Linked DNA regions of Cricetulus griseus. The protein of the gene in region 1 purifies or fractionates together with the protein of each later gene. This does not show direct contact. Links are inferred from orthologs where the notes say so. Each region holds a gene or a part of one and is shown on either strand. Other genes may lie near its edges.

Region 1 (3,960 bases):
AAATAAAATATATAGCTGGAAGATGGGTAGTGGTGGCAGCACACGCCTTTAATCCCAGCACTTGGGAGGCAGAGGTAGCTGGATTTCTGAGTTCAAGGCCAGCTTGGTCTATACAGTGTGTTCCAGGACAGCCAGCACTATACAGAGATGCTGTCTCGTGGGGGGATGAGGGTAACCTGGGTTTGTTTTTTTTTTTTTCCCTTCAAAATATAACAAGAGTTTTGAGGAGAGAACTTAACAGCCGCCTCTCCAGGACCAACCGTCAACTCACCAGGATTTGCTCTGCCTCTTTCAGCTGTTTCTGCAGCTGCTGAATATCACTGTCTCTCTTCTCGACTTCTTTTTCTAATGCCTGCATTTCATGGTGGACTTTTCCCTGATTAAGTGCCAACTTCATCAGTTCTTGAAAGTCCCCATCTCGGTGAATTAGCAGCTCCAAGACCTGTCAAATAATAGTTGATTCCATCAGACAACAGGGTTATCAAGGCTATCACCAATGAGACAAAGAACCCATGCTTGAATTGGCTAGGTTTACCAGTTTTAACACCCGGAATAGTCTTAATCAGCATTAACAATATACATAGCCCATTTGGGGTAGTTTGAGGAAACAAGTTTTAATATCAAGAATTTCCATTTTTATTCTGGTCCTTTTCCATGTAGAACATATCTTTCAGAAGTAATACTGTGCAAATTTCAAGTTTATTCATCTTCCAAAGATAAAATTAAAAAAATTATCCTTATACTACGGAATAATAAAAAGCTCTTCCAAAATCTAATGGTTTGAAGTGACTTTAGTTGGCACCAAACACTTTAAAACTTTGAGATACACCCGGGCGTTGGTGGCGCACGCCTTTAATCCCAACATTCAGGAGGCAAAGACAGGTGGATTTCTGTGTTCAATGCCAGCTTGGTCTACAGAGTGAATTCCAGGATAGCCAGGGATACACACAGAAACCCTGTCTCGAAAAACAAAGAATGAATAAATAGATAATGAATAAATGGTATGCAGATATGGAAAAATGCCACCAAGTTTAATATGCTATCTTGTTGTGGCGGGGGAGCTGGGGTTTTTTCCCCTTCAAAATATAAGCAGAGTTTTAAGGAGAGAACAGAAGCCTGGGGTTTAGTTTGTAACCCTTCAGTTGCTAGCAGTAAGTCACAGGAAAAGAAGTCACCACCCTCCATGAGCCTATTCTCTCCTCTAAAAAGAAAACTTCCCCAATAACACCTATCGTATGCCAGACTATTCTAAGGACTCATGATGTAAGGGAGGTTGGAACACACAGAAGAGCTCAGCAGGCCGATGTGTTGACCACACCTACAATTCCAGCACTGAGATAAAGGTAGGAGGACCAGTAAGTTCAAGGCAAGCCCCGGCTACATAAAAACCCAGAAAGAGAGAGGGGCAGTGGTGGCATCTTGGCAGGCAGATCTTGGAGAGCTCAAGGACAACCGAACAGATAAACCCTGTCTCAAAAACAAAAAAGATGGTTTGAGCGTATGTTTATATTCATTTTGAGAACAGAACGTACTTGAAATCTTTAAACTGATACTTTTTTTAAAAACCAGAGTTTTATTTTATTTTTTTCCAAGACAGTATCTCACTACATAGCCCTGGTTGTCCCGGAACTCACTCTGTAGACCAGCCTGGCTTCAAACTCAGAGATCTGCCTGCCTCTGAAGGTGTGAGCCACCATTTTTTTTTTTTTTTTTAGATTAAAAAAGAAACCGTTTACCTGGTTTTCCTCATCCAGCTGTAACAGCTTCTGATTTCTTGAAATTGCCAGCATTTCTATAAGTTCCCTAAAAGAAAAGCAACCATCAGGGTACGGTGGTACTTGCCTTAAACTCGATAAAGGGGTGGGGTAGGGTGGTGGTGGGGGGGAGGGGGGATTCAGGCCATCCTGAGCTACCAAGTGAAACCTTTTAAGAACACAATAAAAACCTGTGAGAATAAATAGAAAAGAAACTGTTTTAACTGCTCTCTGTCCCAACCGATTACTGGCTTCATGGTTGTGATTTACAAGAAAACTATCTGACCTGGACTGTGGGTCTGCAGGCCGAATCCAGGAGGGCTACAGCTTGTGGAAATTATTTTCTTGTAAGATAGCACTGACTGCCATGACGATGGGGCTCTGCCCTTACAAGGCTCCAACTGATCGACTTTATAATGACAATATGGAGAATGACACCCAACTTAATCTACTTCTGCCACACAGGAGCCATCCCACCAAGTCCTGCACGTTTCTGACCTTTTTTTCCGGGATGATGGGATCATCTGCCAGACGCCTAACGAGTCTGATGTCTTCCCCAGACAGCCTACTGGTTTGGGAAGCTCGCCTTGCTTACACCGGACTAGGGGTCCCATCCGTGGACTCCAGAAGGCTGCAGCTCGGCTCGTGATCCCAGCAGGGCTCCCTGGTGCTGGCACCCAGCCTCCCTCGACTACAGCATCCCTGCACTTGGCACTCCGGGGCTGAGTGTCCGTGGACCGGGCCCTTCCTTACTGTCTTGGGGCTCCAGGTCGCTGAGATGTCCCCTTAGTGGGGACATGCCGCCCAAAGCCCCGGAAGGCCGCAGACCCCAGGTGCCCCACACTCGCGCTCCGGCCCGACACTCCCCGGCCCGCCTACCCCCAGTCAGCGCCCACAGCAGGGCCGGCCCGAGCAGGTTTCCCGGGCCGCGGTTACCTCGACAGGACCTCCAGGTCTTCCAGCGCAGACAGCAGCCGCTCGCGCGTGCTGCCAACGCCTGCCATTACCGAGACGCCGCCCAGACGCTCCTTCTCCTTCTCCCCACTTGAAGAAGCCGCCATCGCCCAGCCGATCGCCAACAACCGCATGCGCAGAGTGAGCTAGCGGCAGGAGGGGCGGAACCGGAACACGGGAGGAAGAGTCATAGAGGTGGTGAGAGAGAGGCTCCGCTAGAGCGCCGCCTACGGTCTTGGAGGTGCACTGCAGTTCTGGCGCCATCTGCTGCGCAGAGGAGGGATTGCTCCAGCCGGACCCAGGATGAGAGAGCTATCCAGTCTCCTGGATCTCCTGTTTCCTTAGCTGCAATGGGAAGTTGCTAATAAACGAATTTTAAGAAAGCGAGAGAATTGCACAATTATTAACTTTTATTTTGTCTGCATTCCCATAATATTATCAAGCCCGTTAAGATAGTTCTCTCATGAGGTTGTAGTAAACATCTTAGGACAGGAACCAACATTTCCCCCCCCCCCATTCTTTTGTTTGGTAGCAAAATATATATACATATAAAATTCACTATCTTTTTTTAATCCGGGAAGTCACTCTATGGGCCAGGATGGCCTCAAACTCAGAGCTCTGCCTATCTCTGCCTTTGGAGTGCTGGGATATCAAGTGTTTAATTTTTAAAAAGTTTTTTTTTTAATTTTAAATACTGTCTCATGTAGTCTAGGCATGTACTACCACACCTGTGGCTCAAACCTAGAGCTCTAAGCATGCTAGGCAAGCATTCTACCCACTGAGCCACACCCCAAGCCCTGGAGTGCTGGGATTAAAGGTGTTTGCCACCACCACTGGGCTATTTAAATTAAGTATCTTAGCCACTGTATGTATAGAGTTCACTGGCCTTAACTTGCTGTTAAATAAGAGTAGTGGTGGTACACACCTTAAGAAGCAGGCAGATTTCTGAGTTCTAGGCCAGCCTGGCCTACAGAGAGAATTCCAGGACAGCCAGGGCTACACAGAGAAACCCTGTCTCAAAACAAAACAAAATTGCTGTTAAATAGCATCCATATCCAACTCTTTTTTTTTGCTTGTTTGTTTGTTTGTTTTTGGTTTTTGAGACAGGGTTTCTCTGTATTTCTTTGGAGACTGTCCTGGAACTCTTTCTGTAGACCAGGGTGGCCTTGAACTCACAGAGATCTGCCTGCCTCCGTCTCCTGAGTGCTGGGATTAAAAGCATGAGCCACCAATGCTGAATGCTGAGCCACTC
Region 2 (4,032 bases), about 230 Mb from region 1:
GCATGTACCCACTATGCATGGTTGCAAATGCTTTTTAAGAGATAATTTTACTTTTTCAAACTATTAGGGTTATTAAAGACCTTGACAAAAACTTGACAAAATGGTGTGTTAAGCTAATTTTTCCAGGATTGGCATCAATAACAGGTGTTTCCAACCTGTTGAGTTACCAGGTTGTGAGCCATCATTTGGGTTCTAGGAATGGAACTCAAGTCTTCTGGAAGAGCTGTCAGTGTTCTTAATGGCTAAGCTATTGAGCTCCTACAAAGAAGTTTAAAAGAAGCTTGAAGTATTTTATAAGATATTTGATACATTTTAGAATGTGTTTATTTTATTTTAATTTATTTAACTTAAATTGGTGTTTCTTTTCCGACTGGCTAGATTTTGTATTCTCATTAAAATCTGCCAAAAAAAAAAACACCAAAAACCCTCGACTCCACAATAAAACAGTTTAGATGGTATTTTATAGCAAAAGGTATTCTTTAAGCATTTTTTAGTAGTTTACTGTCTCCTTGCTAAAGTATCAGCTTTTGAATTTAAAAGTAATCTAAAGAATTTAGATTCTTAGGGGTTGCTGGTCCACATGAGCACTTATTGGAAGTTCTCAGATATGAGCTTGTAGGATATGGTTGAACTGTACTGTGTGCTGTTGTAGGGCTAGGGAAAGAAAGGTTTTTGTTTTAAAGCAAACGACGTGTTTACCGAGCGTTTTTCTGACTTAATGAGGTAGGTCTCCTCATGTAGCCGAGGCAGTTGTCCAATTTAAGACCACGTAGCCCATCCTCCATCTTCCATGCGTAACTCAAATTTGTGGAAATAGGCAAAGGAATTGAAAAGGTAACTTGCTGCAGTTTATGTGCCTAACATTCATACATGTCCTGATTTTTCTGTGATAGTAACCACCTTTGATGAAGAGAAGTGTGTTTGGGCAAGTTGTATGCACGGTAAATTTTCTACCTGATGTCCCACGTGGCCCCTGGCCCTGGGTGGCACGCTGGCCTCAGATGTGCAGAAGACACTCTTCCCTCCTTCTGCCTGGCTGCGCTCGCGAGGGGAGATGGAATGCTGCTTTTCACTGCTCACTTATTTCGCTGGGGGGTGGAGGGTGAGGGGGAGACTTGGAACCGAAGGACAAACTGAAGGGACAAAGAGGAACTGGGTGCGCCCTCCTCGCACTCGTCTTCCGACCGGCTTCCAGCGTCCCTTGGGGGCGGGGCCGAGCGTCGTGACGTACTGCCCGCCCTGACGCGGCTGTGAGCGCGGTTCCCCAGGCGACCGTGGTCAGCCAGCGACCCACCATGGAGCGTAGGGTGGTGAAGCCACCGGGGCAGGACATGATAGTGGAGCGTCTCAAAAGCCTCTACGGCCTGGCGGGAAGCTGCTCCGTGGAGGTGAGGGGAGTGAAGCCCGCGGCGGGCTCCGGCGCCCGGGCGGCTGTGGGAGGGCTCCGGCCTGCCTGCCTTGGGGAGGCTCGCCCGGGAGCGCCTTCCCTCAGGGAAACCGCCGAGATGCATGGGGCGTGGCTTTGGTCCTGCTGGTGGTGACCCGAGTGCAGCAGGCATAGAAGACGACGTGGTTCTTTCGGGCAAGCTTCTTACTCCGAAGTAATTGCAAACTTAGAAGTTGTGGCAGTATGCATTCTTGTAGCCCTCCCTTGAACGTGCCATTCACCAGGGGAGTCTTGGCTTATTTGCTGCGGGATCCCCACCGATGCAATTTGTTAATATCAATCTGTGGGATGAATGCTGGAAGAACCGAAGCGGGGGAAACCAATTGCAGCTATGCAGTTTCCACGAGGCTCATTTATTATTATTATTTATTATTATCATCATCATCATCATCATTACACCTCCTTTGATAAGAGGCGTTTACAGTTCAGCTGAGAAGCCTGCTTCACAGCCTAGCAAATCCAAAGCTCAACATATGAGGTACTGGAACATCATGTACTCTGTTCTCCAGAAGTTGAGGAAGGTAGCAGGCATTCCTTAGTTCCTTCCCACATTTGCTAACTTTTCAAAATCCCTTCTAGAGAAATGTCAGTATATCTCAGAGTTCCCATGCCCGTGTCACAAATCCATTCTATCCTCACATAACCTTAATTCAGATTGTAACACGTACTCCTCTGGTTTGGTTTTCCTGTGAAGCAGGTTCTCAGAATTTTAAAACTTCATTGATACTTTCCAGGATATTTAGTATTGCCACAATAATACAGGACAATGTGTAGCTCATACTTAGATTTCACTAATTACCGCAACTAAGACCTTTTGTAGAAAGTTTTTCCTAATGCAGATGCCACTTAGGTCTGAACATTGCATTTGGTTGGCTCTGTTGCCTTTACAACAGATGCCCACACTTAGTTTCTTACAACATGAATGCTTTCACAAGGTTGAAGAATGTTGTGTATAGAATATCTGTCAGTTTGAGTTTGATTTGATTCTGGTTTGATTTGATTCTGGCTTTGTAGTTTTGGCAGGAATATGATACGGAAGGTTCGTGGGCTGCTGTGATGAATCAACAAGTACATGATGTTTGCTTGTCTAATTAGTGATGCTAATGTTGCTTAGGGTGCGGCCCTAGGTTTTTCCATGCTAACCTTTGTAATTAACATGTAATCTATGGAAAAATATTGTAAGGGAATATTTCTTAGTGTTTAAGTGTGTCTTTTTTACCCCCCTAGCAAGAGTTTTCAAATTTTGATCAGACTAAATATAAAAGAAGAATTCTAACCTCCCCAGGTAAGTCAATAGAATATTTTGTATATTTGAGTATTTTAACAAATTTAATTTGAAAGAAATTTTTGTAATGGTTTAGATGTACGGTTAGTGTTACTTATTTTTTATTTAAAATTTTTTGGTAGATACACAATAATAATTGTGAATTTAGGGATGAATGTGTGAGATGCCCTTAAAAATTAAATTTAACCAGAGTTTTTGGTGTGTGTTATGTGTGTGTTTAATTTATAGTGTGTATACCTTCCCTTTCTTTTTACTCCTGTGCTACTAGGAGTCAAAACCAGACCCTTGATCAAGACTGAGCAAGTGCTTGATCACTAAGCCATGTCCCCAGCTAATATGTTTGTTTTTTAAGATGTTAAAAATTGAGCAGACTGTATTGGGTGAAGAACACTAATTGGTATTTTTAAGCAGGAAGAGTTACTAGGATAGAAAGTAAAGGAAAAATTTATCAAGTGAATGTACTTGGAAAACATAATTATCCTGGGGGTTGTAATGTTTTTTGATAAGCTGAAACTTTTTGTTTTTTTCAAGATGGGGTTTCTCTGTGTAGCTTTGTAGACCAGGCTGGCCTCGAACTCACAGCCATCCGCCTGCCTCAGCCTCCCAAGTGCTGGGATTAAAGACATGTGCCACCATGCCCAGCTACCAGAAAATGTTTTAAATAAAATTATAGGACATTTCCCCAAACTAAAGGAAGAGATGCTTATCAACATATAAGAAGCATCCAGACCACCAAATAGACAGAACCAGAAAAGAAACTCCCCATGACATATGATAATCAAAACATTGAATGTCCAGAACAAAGGATATTAAAATCTGCAAGGCAAAAAGACCAAGTCACATATAAAGGCAGGCTCATTAGAATAACACCTCAGTGGAGACTCTGAAAGTCAGAAGGGCTTTCAAGAGATCACAGATGCCAGCCCACACTGCTATACCCAGCAAAACTATCAGTGACAATTAATGGAGAAAGAAAAGCATTATACAATAAAACCAAATTTAAGTCATTTCTGTTTACCGGTCCACTTGAAGGCAATCTTCATTCTGAAGAGGTTAATTATTTTAGGGCAGACCCCATGTCCAGGAGTAATTGGCAAACACAAGATAAACTCAGTGGTATTTTTGTGGACTTTTTGTTTCATTTTGCTTTGGACACTTTTTGCCTTATTCATCTTTTGGTTTTTGTTTTTTATTTATTTATTTTGTGTGTGTGTGTGTGTGTGTGTGTGTGTGTGTGTGTGTGTGTGTGTGTTGTGGGTTTTTTTTTTTTTTTTTTTTTGAAAAAGAAAAACCAAAGTTC
Region 3 (4,072 bases), on another chromosome or scaffold:
AGGAGACTGACAGTAAGTAACACTGGAACGCTAGAATGGGGCCAGGCCGGGCGGTGGCGCACGCCTTTATTCCCAGTGCTTGGGAGGCAGAGGCAGGCGATCTCAGTGAGTTTGAGGCCAGTCTGGTCTACAGATTGAGTGCCAGGACAGGCTCCAAAGCTACACAGAAATCCTGTCTCAAGAAAAAAAAAAAGTTAGAATGGTGAGCAATATGCCCTACCCCAAAGGGGGGGGGGGAATCAACCCCTTAACAAGTTTTAGCAAGTTCCTCACATATTTTGTGTCCAAACCCTATTTCTCCCGAATCAAAGAACATATACAGGTTCTACCAAATCAAAGAAACTCAGTGACTAGGCTTGCCAGCTAAGGAAGTCAAATCCTGAGCTAATCTATTCTTTTCCTACAAAGGAGCCACTTTGAGTCCTGGGTGACGTCAGATCAGGTTCCACCCAGACCAATGAGTTCCAAGAGTCCAGTGGCAGGTGACGCCCTAGAAAGAAATTTCTGAGAGGATGAAGTTTCCATGGATAGCGTCGGTGCTCTTCCCTCTGGACTTTGGCTATGGATACTGGGGTAATCCTGGGGTTAGGGACCCACACGTGTCTCTAAGGGAACCTCATGGGAAGCCAAACAGAACAAAGGGCAAACGATCGGCGGTAGTGCAAAGACTTGGGATCCTAAAGGAAGGACACGATGGACAGCGAGAGGGCGAGAAGGCTGGTTTTGGCTAAAAAGGTCAGAAATCGTGAGAGCGATGCTTAGGCTTTACCCAAAGGATTCCCTGTGGGAATGAAGAGCTATCCCACCCCTCTCCTGGCAGTGCAGGGTGCTCTCCCGCCACACCCCTCCTCTCCTGAGATCCGTGTGCCACCCAACCCCAGGGGAGGACCTGAACTCCATCCCCGCGCGCCGTCCCGTGCCTTTTGCCCAGGACTCGGCAGAGCCTGTCCTTCCCCTCTGCATTAGCACGTTGGCTCTCACCGTCGGCGGGGGCGCCTCTCCTCTCAGTGGAACGGCGAGCGGACTCCGTGCGGCCTCTGGCCCGTGGCTGCCTGCAATCCCAGCTGTGAGCTCACGTCCTGCGCCGGCCGACTCCTGAGCTACAACCCAGCCCTACGACTCGAGAAATATACTACAAGACCCGGCATGCACAGCGCGAGCAGGCGGTGGAGTCGGGAATCCGGTTGAGACTTGGCCTTCTTCCGCTTCCGGGTGTGAGGGCAAATCTACTTCCGACGGCCTCCGGCGCAAAGGCTTCTGGGTTTCGTGGGCAGTTGCCGCTCCTCCCGGGTTGCCTCTATTTCCCAGCAGGCACTGCTGGGATGCTACTGGTTCTGGTGTCGGGGTGACGTGTGGCTTAGTAAGTCCTGTATCCGTGGCAGCGGCTGGTTGCGGTTACCGGAGAGAACTTCCCGCCGACAGCCATCTGGGCCGCAGCGCGCCAAGACGGGTCGGCAGGTATGTCGTGATTTGAGGTCGGGGGGACGTGGTGGACTTGGGACTAGAGAAGGCCGACGTGGTCCCGCGATGGGGATTGGCAGGCCCAGGCCGAAAGCCGCGGTTTCCCACCCTCGACATTTTTAGGGAGCCGGTTTACACCCAGCTCAGCCCTAGAGCACGGCTCCCTACGATCTCGCCGGGAAACCGAGGCTCGGACGATTCAGGAGGATAACGTAGTAAAGACAGCCACGAGACAGCCACGTCCTTTGCCCAGTCTTTCCTGACTGTGCCAGCGCCTTCTCCACACTCCACAGCCGCAACTGTTTTTAGTGCCTGGGGATGTGGGAGAGCCAGGCTGGTAGAGCCAGTCACGGTCCTCATGTTTAGGAAACTCAATCCCAGCCGGGCGGTGGTGGCGCCCGCCTTTAATCCCAGCACTCGGGAGGCAGAGGCAGGCGGATCTCTGTGAGTTCGAGACCAGCCTGGTCTACAAGAGCTAGTTCCAGGACAGCCTCCAAAGCCACAGAGAAACCCTGTCTCGAAAAACCAAAAAAAAAAAAAAAAAAGGAAACTCAATCCTAGGTCCCTGGGACATGTTTGTGGTAGAGGCTGAGGGTGAGGTGGGGATCTCTTAGTCCACTGTGAATCATTTCCCTGCAATGGTTCCCCCTCTTTCTTAAGCATCTCATGAAACTGTGCTTTTCCAGCCATGCACTCGGTCCAGTCCAGACTCATGGCAATCATGTTTGGCTCTTTTCTTCACTTATCTCCAAACTGCTGCATTCAACAGTCTGTTACTAAATTCTGTCGACTTGGGAAACATGTCAGCTGTGATCTCGTCTTCAGCTTCAGGTCTTTGATTCTGTTACAGCCTACTGTTTCCATGTTCATTCATTCTGCAAACATTTACAGAGTGCCGCTTACTTGTAGGCAACCTGCTTAGATGCTAGGCTCACAGTGAAGAATCATCTTTTAGGTGTGCCTCTGTGCTACTACTGTTCCTCCGATTGGCCAAGGCAGTGAGTGATCTTCCCAAATCTGATCGATGAGCACTGCTGGAATCCACTACTAGCTGTTACCACTTTAAAAAAAAAAAAAAATCTGAGTTCATTACTGGGGCTTTCCCAGCATTGAACCACCCAGCTCTAGCCAGTCTAGCCTCGTTGCTCTTGTCGTTTTGATCACAATAGCCTTTGTGCCAAATTCTAGCCTCAGGATCTTCTTATGTGCTTTTCCCTCTGTTCAGAATACCTCTCTCCCTTCTCTTAGATTATTTTGGGCATGTTCAGGTCTCATATTATTTTTTCTGAAGGCTTTTGTTGACCTCTGCCCATTGAGTTATGTTCTCCTGCAGTGGCTTCACGACACTGAGCACTGTTCCATAAATATATAGTTTTATCACAGTGGTTGTTTGCTTACTGTCTGTCTGGAGACATTGTGTTCACTCTGTCCTTGGAGTAGCGATTCCACAGTTTTTTGAATAAATGCATGCAAACTCTGGTGTGTGCACCCTCATATTACACGAATTATTAATAGCACCTTGTTCAGTTAATCCCTGGCAGCTCTTAACTACTCAACTGTTTGTCCAAATAGAACAACACAAAAAGATAGTTGGGTTGGTTTTTGTTTTTGTTGTTTTGGAGACAGGGTCTTATGTAGCACAGTATAGCCTGGAGATCAATCAATATGTAACCCAGGTTGCTCCTAAATTTGTGTCAGTGGTCCTCTGGCATAAGTGCTAGAATTAGAGTCATGCATGACCATAGGTGGCTTTTAACTCTATTCCATCTACCCCCCCAACCCTGCTCCCTGGAACTCTGTTGACCAGGCTGGCCTTGAACTCACAGAGATCCACCTGCCTTTGCCTCCCTAGTGCTGGGATTAAAGGCGTGTGCCAGATTTTTTCTTTGTTTTATTTTGGTGGTGTTGTTTGTTTGTTTGTTTGTGTGTATCATTTCGGTGTATACCTTTGAAAAGCCTTTTGGGATGCATAAACGGGGATTTCTAACTATGCTTATGGCTTACAACTTAGGCCAGATGCACCCAAGTGAATTGCTGTTTTCATTTTTTTCCCCTGTTGGCTTAGTGATATTTCTGTAAAATCACTTAATGCAATATAGTTTTTCAGGTTTACATTCTGTTTTCCTCCAGCTAAACTGCTCCAGGGCAGGCACCATGTTGCATTCATCTTTACACCCCAGCATCTAGCAGTGTTGGCATGTAGTAGGCACTCAAGAAATGTATGTTGAATGAACGATGCCTGTGACAAGCAATTGGACTTTATTCTTTCCTGACCCTTGCTCCTATGACATACCTCCTGACTGCCACTGTCACCCCTTCAAAGCAGAACTTCTCTAGGGAGCCTGGAAGGGAAACAGGTGAGGCTGAGAGGTGGAGGTAGAGGGAACAGGGAATATGAGGAGGGCTTGACAATGGTATCTGGGGAGTATGAGGAGGGCTTGACAATGGTATCTGGGGACTGGAGTGGCTGAGGTTGAGCCTGATTTCCTTGGATGTCTGGGATGAAATTCAGGTTGGGGCTGCTTTCTTTACAGCTATGGCCAAGGACATCTTGGGGGAAGCAGGGCTGCACTTTGATGAGCTGAACAAGCTTCGGGTGTTGGACCCAGAG

What was found. Proteins that work in one complex are often made in the same cells at the same time.
Region 2: the proteins of Med4 (region 1) and Ccdc138 purify together in Homo sapiens (affinity purification with mass spectrometry; 3 studies listed by BioGRID and IntAct, with this or other methods). This does not show direct contact. The link is inferred for Cricetulus griseus from reciprocal best matches to the Homo sapiens genes MED4 and CCDC138.
Region 3: the proteins of Med4 (region 1) and Ift20 purify together in Homo sapiens (affinity purification with mass spectrometry; 3 studies listed by BioGRID and IntAct, with this or other methods). This does not show direct contact. The link is inferred for Cricetulus griseus from reciprocal best matches to the Homo sapiens genes MED4 and IFT20.

What each region holds. Positions count from the first base shown.
Region 1 is NW_023276807.1:228,015,249-228,019,208, reverse strand, and holds the start of Med4 (mediator of RNA polymerase II transcription subunit 4), read right to left. Parts: upstream 2,822-3,960; 5' UTR 2,816-2,821; coding exon 2,691-2,815; intron 2,666-2,690; exon of another isoform or gene 2,369-2,665; coding exon of another isoform or gene 2,253-2,368; intron 2,164-2,252; exon of another isoform or gene 2,041-2,163; intron 1,804-2,040; coding exon 1,737-1,803; intron 443-1,736; coding exon 272-442; intron 1-271. UniProt on the Homo sapiens protein: Component of the Mediator complex, a coactivator involved in the regulated transcription of nearly all RNA polymerase II-dependent genes.
Region 2 is NW_023276807.1:2,595,356-2,599,387, reverse strand, and holds the start of Ccdc138 (coiled-coil domain-containing protein 138), read left to right. Parts: upstream 1-1,231; 5' UTR 1,232-1,295; coding exon 1,296-1,388; intron 1,389-2,674; coding exon 2,675-2,732; intron 2,733-4,032.
Region 3 is NC_048600.1:91,926,679-91,930,750, forward strand, and holds the start of Ift20 (intraflagellar transport protein 20 homolog), read left to right. Parts: upstream 1-1,271; 5' UTR 1,272-1,458; intron 1,459-3,591; 5' UTR 3,592-3,745; coding exon 3,746-3,818; intron 3,819-3,995; coding exon 3,996-4,072. UniProt on the Homo sapiens protein: Part of intraflagellar transport (IFT) particles involved in ciliary process assembly. May play a role in the trafficking of ciliary membrane proteins from the Golgi complex to the cilium.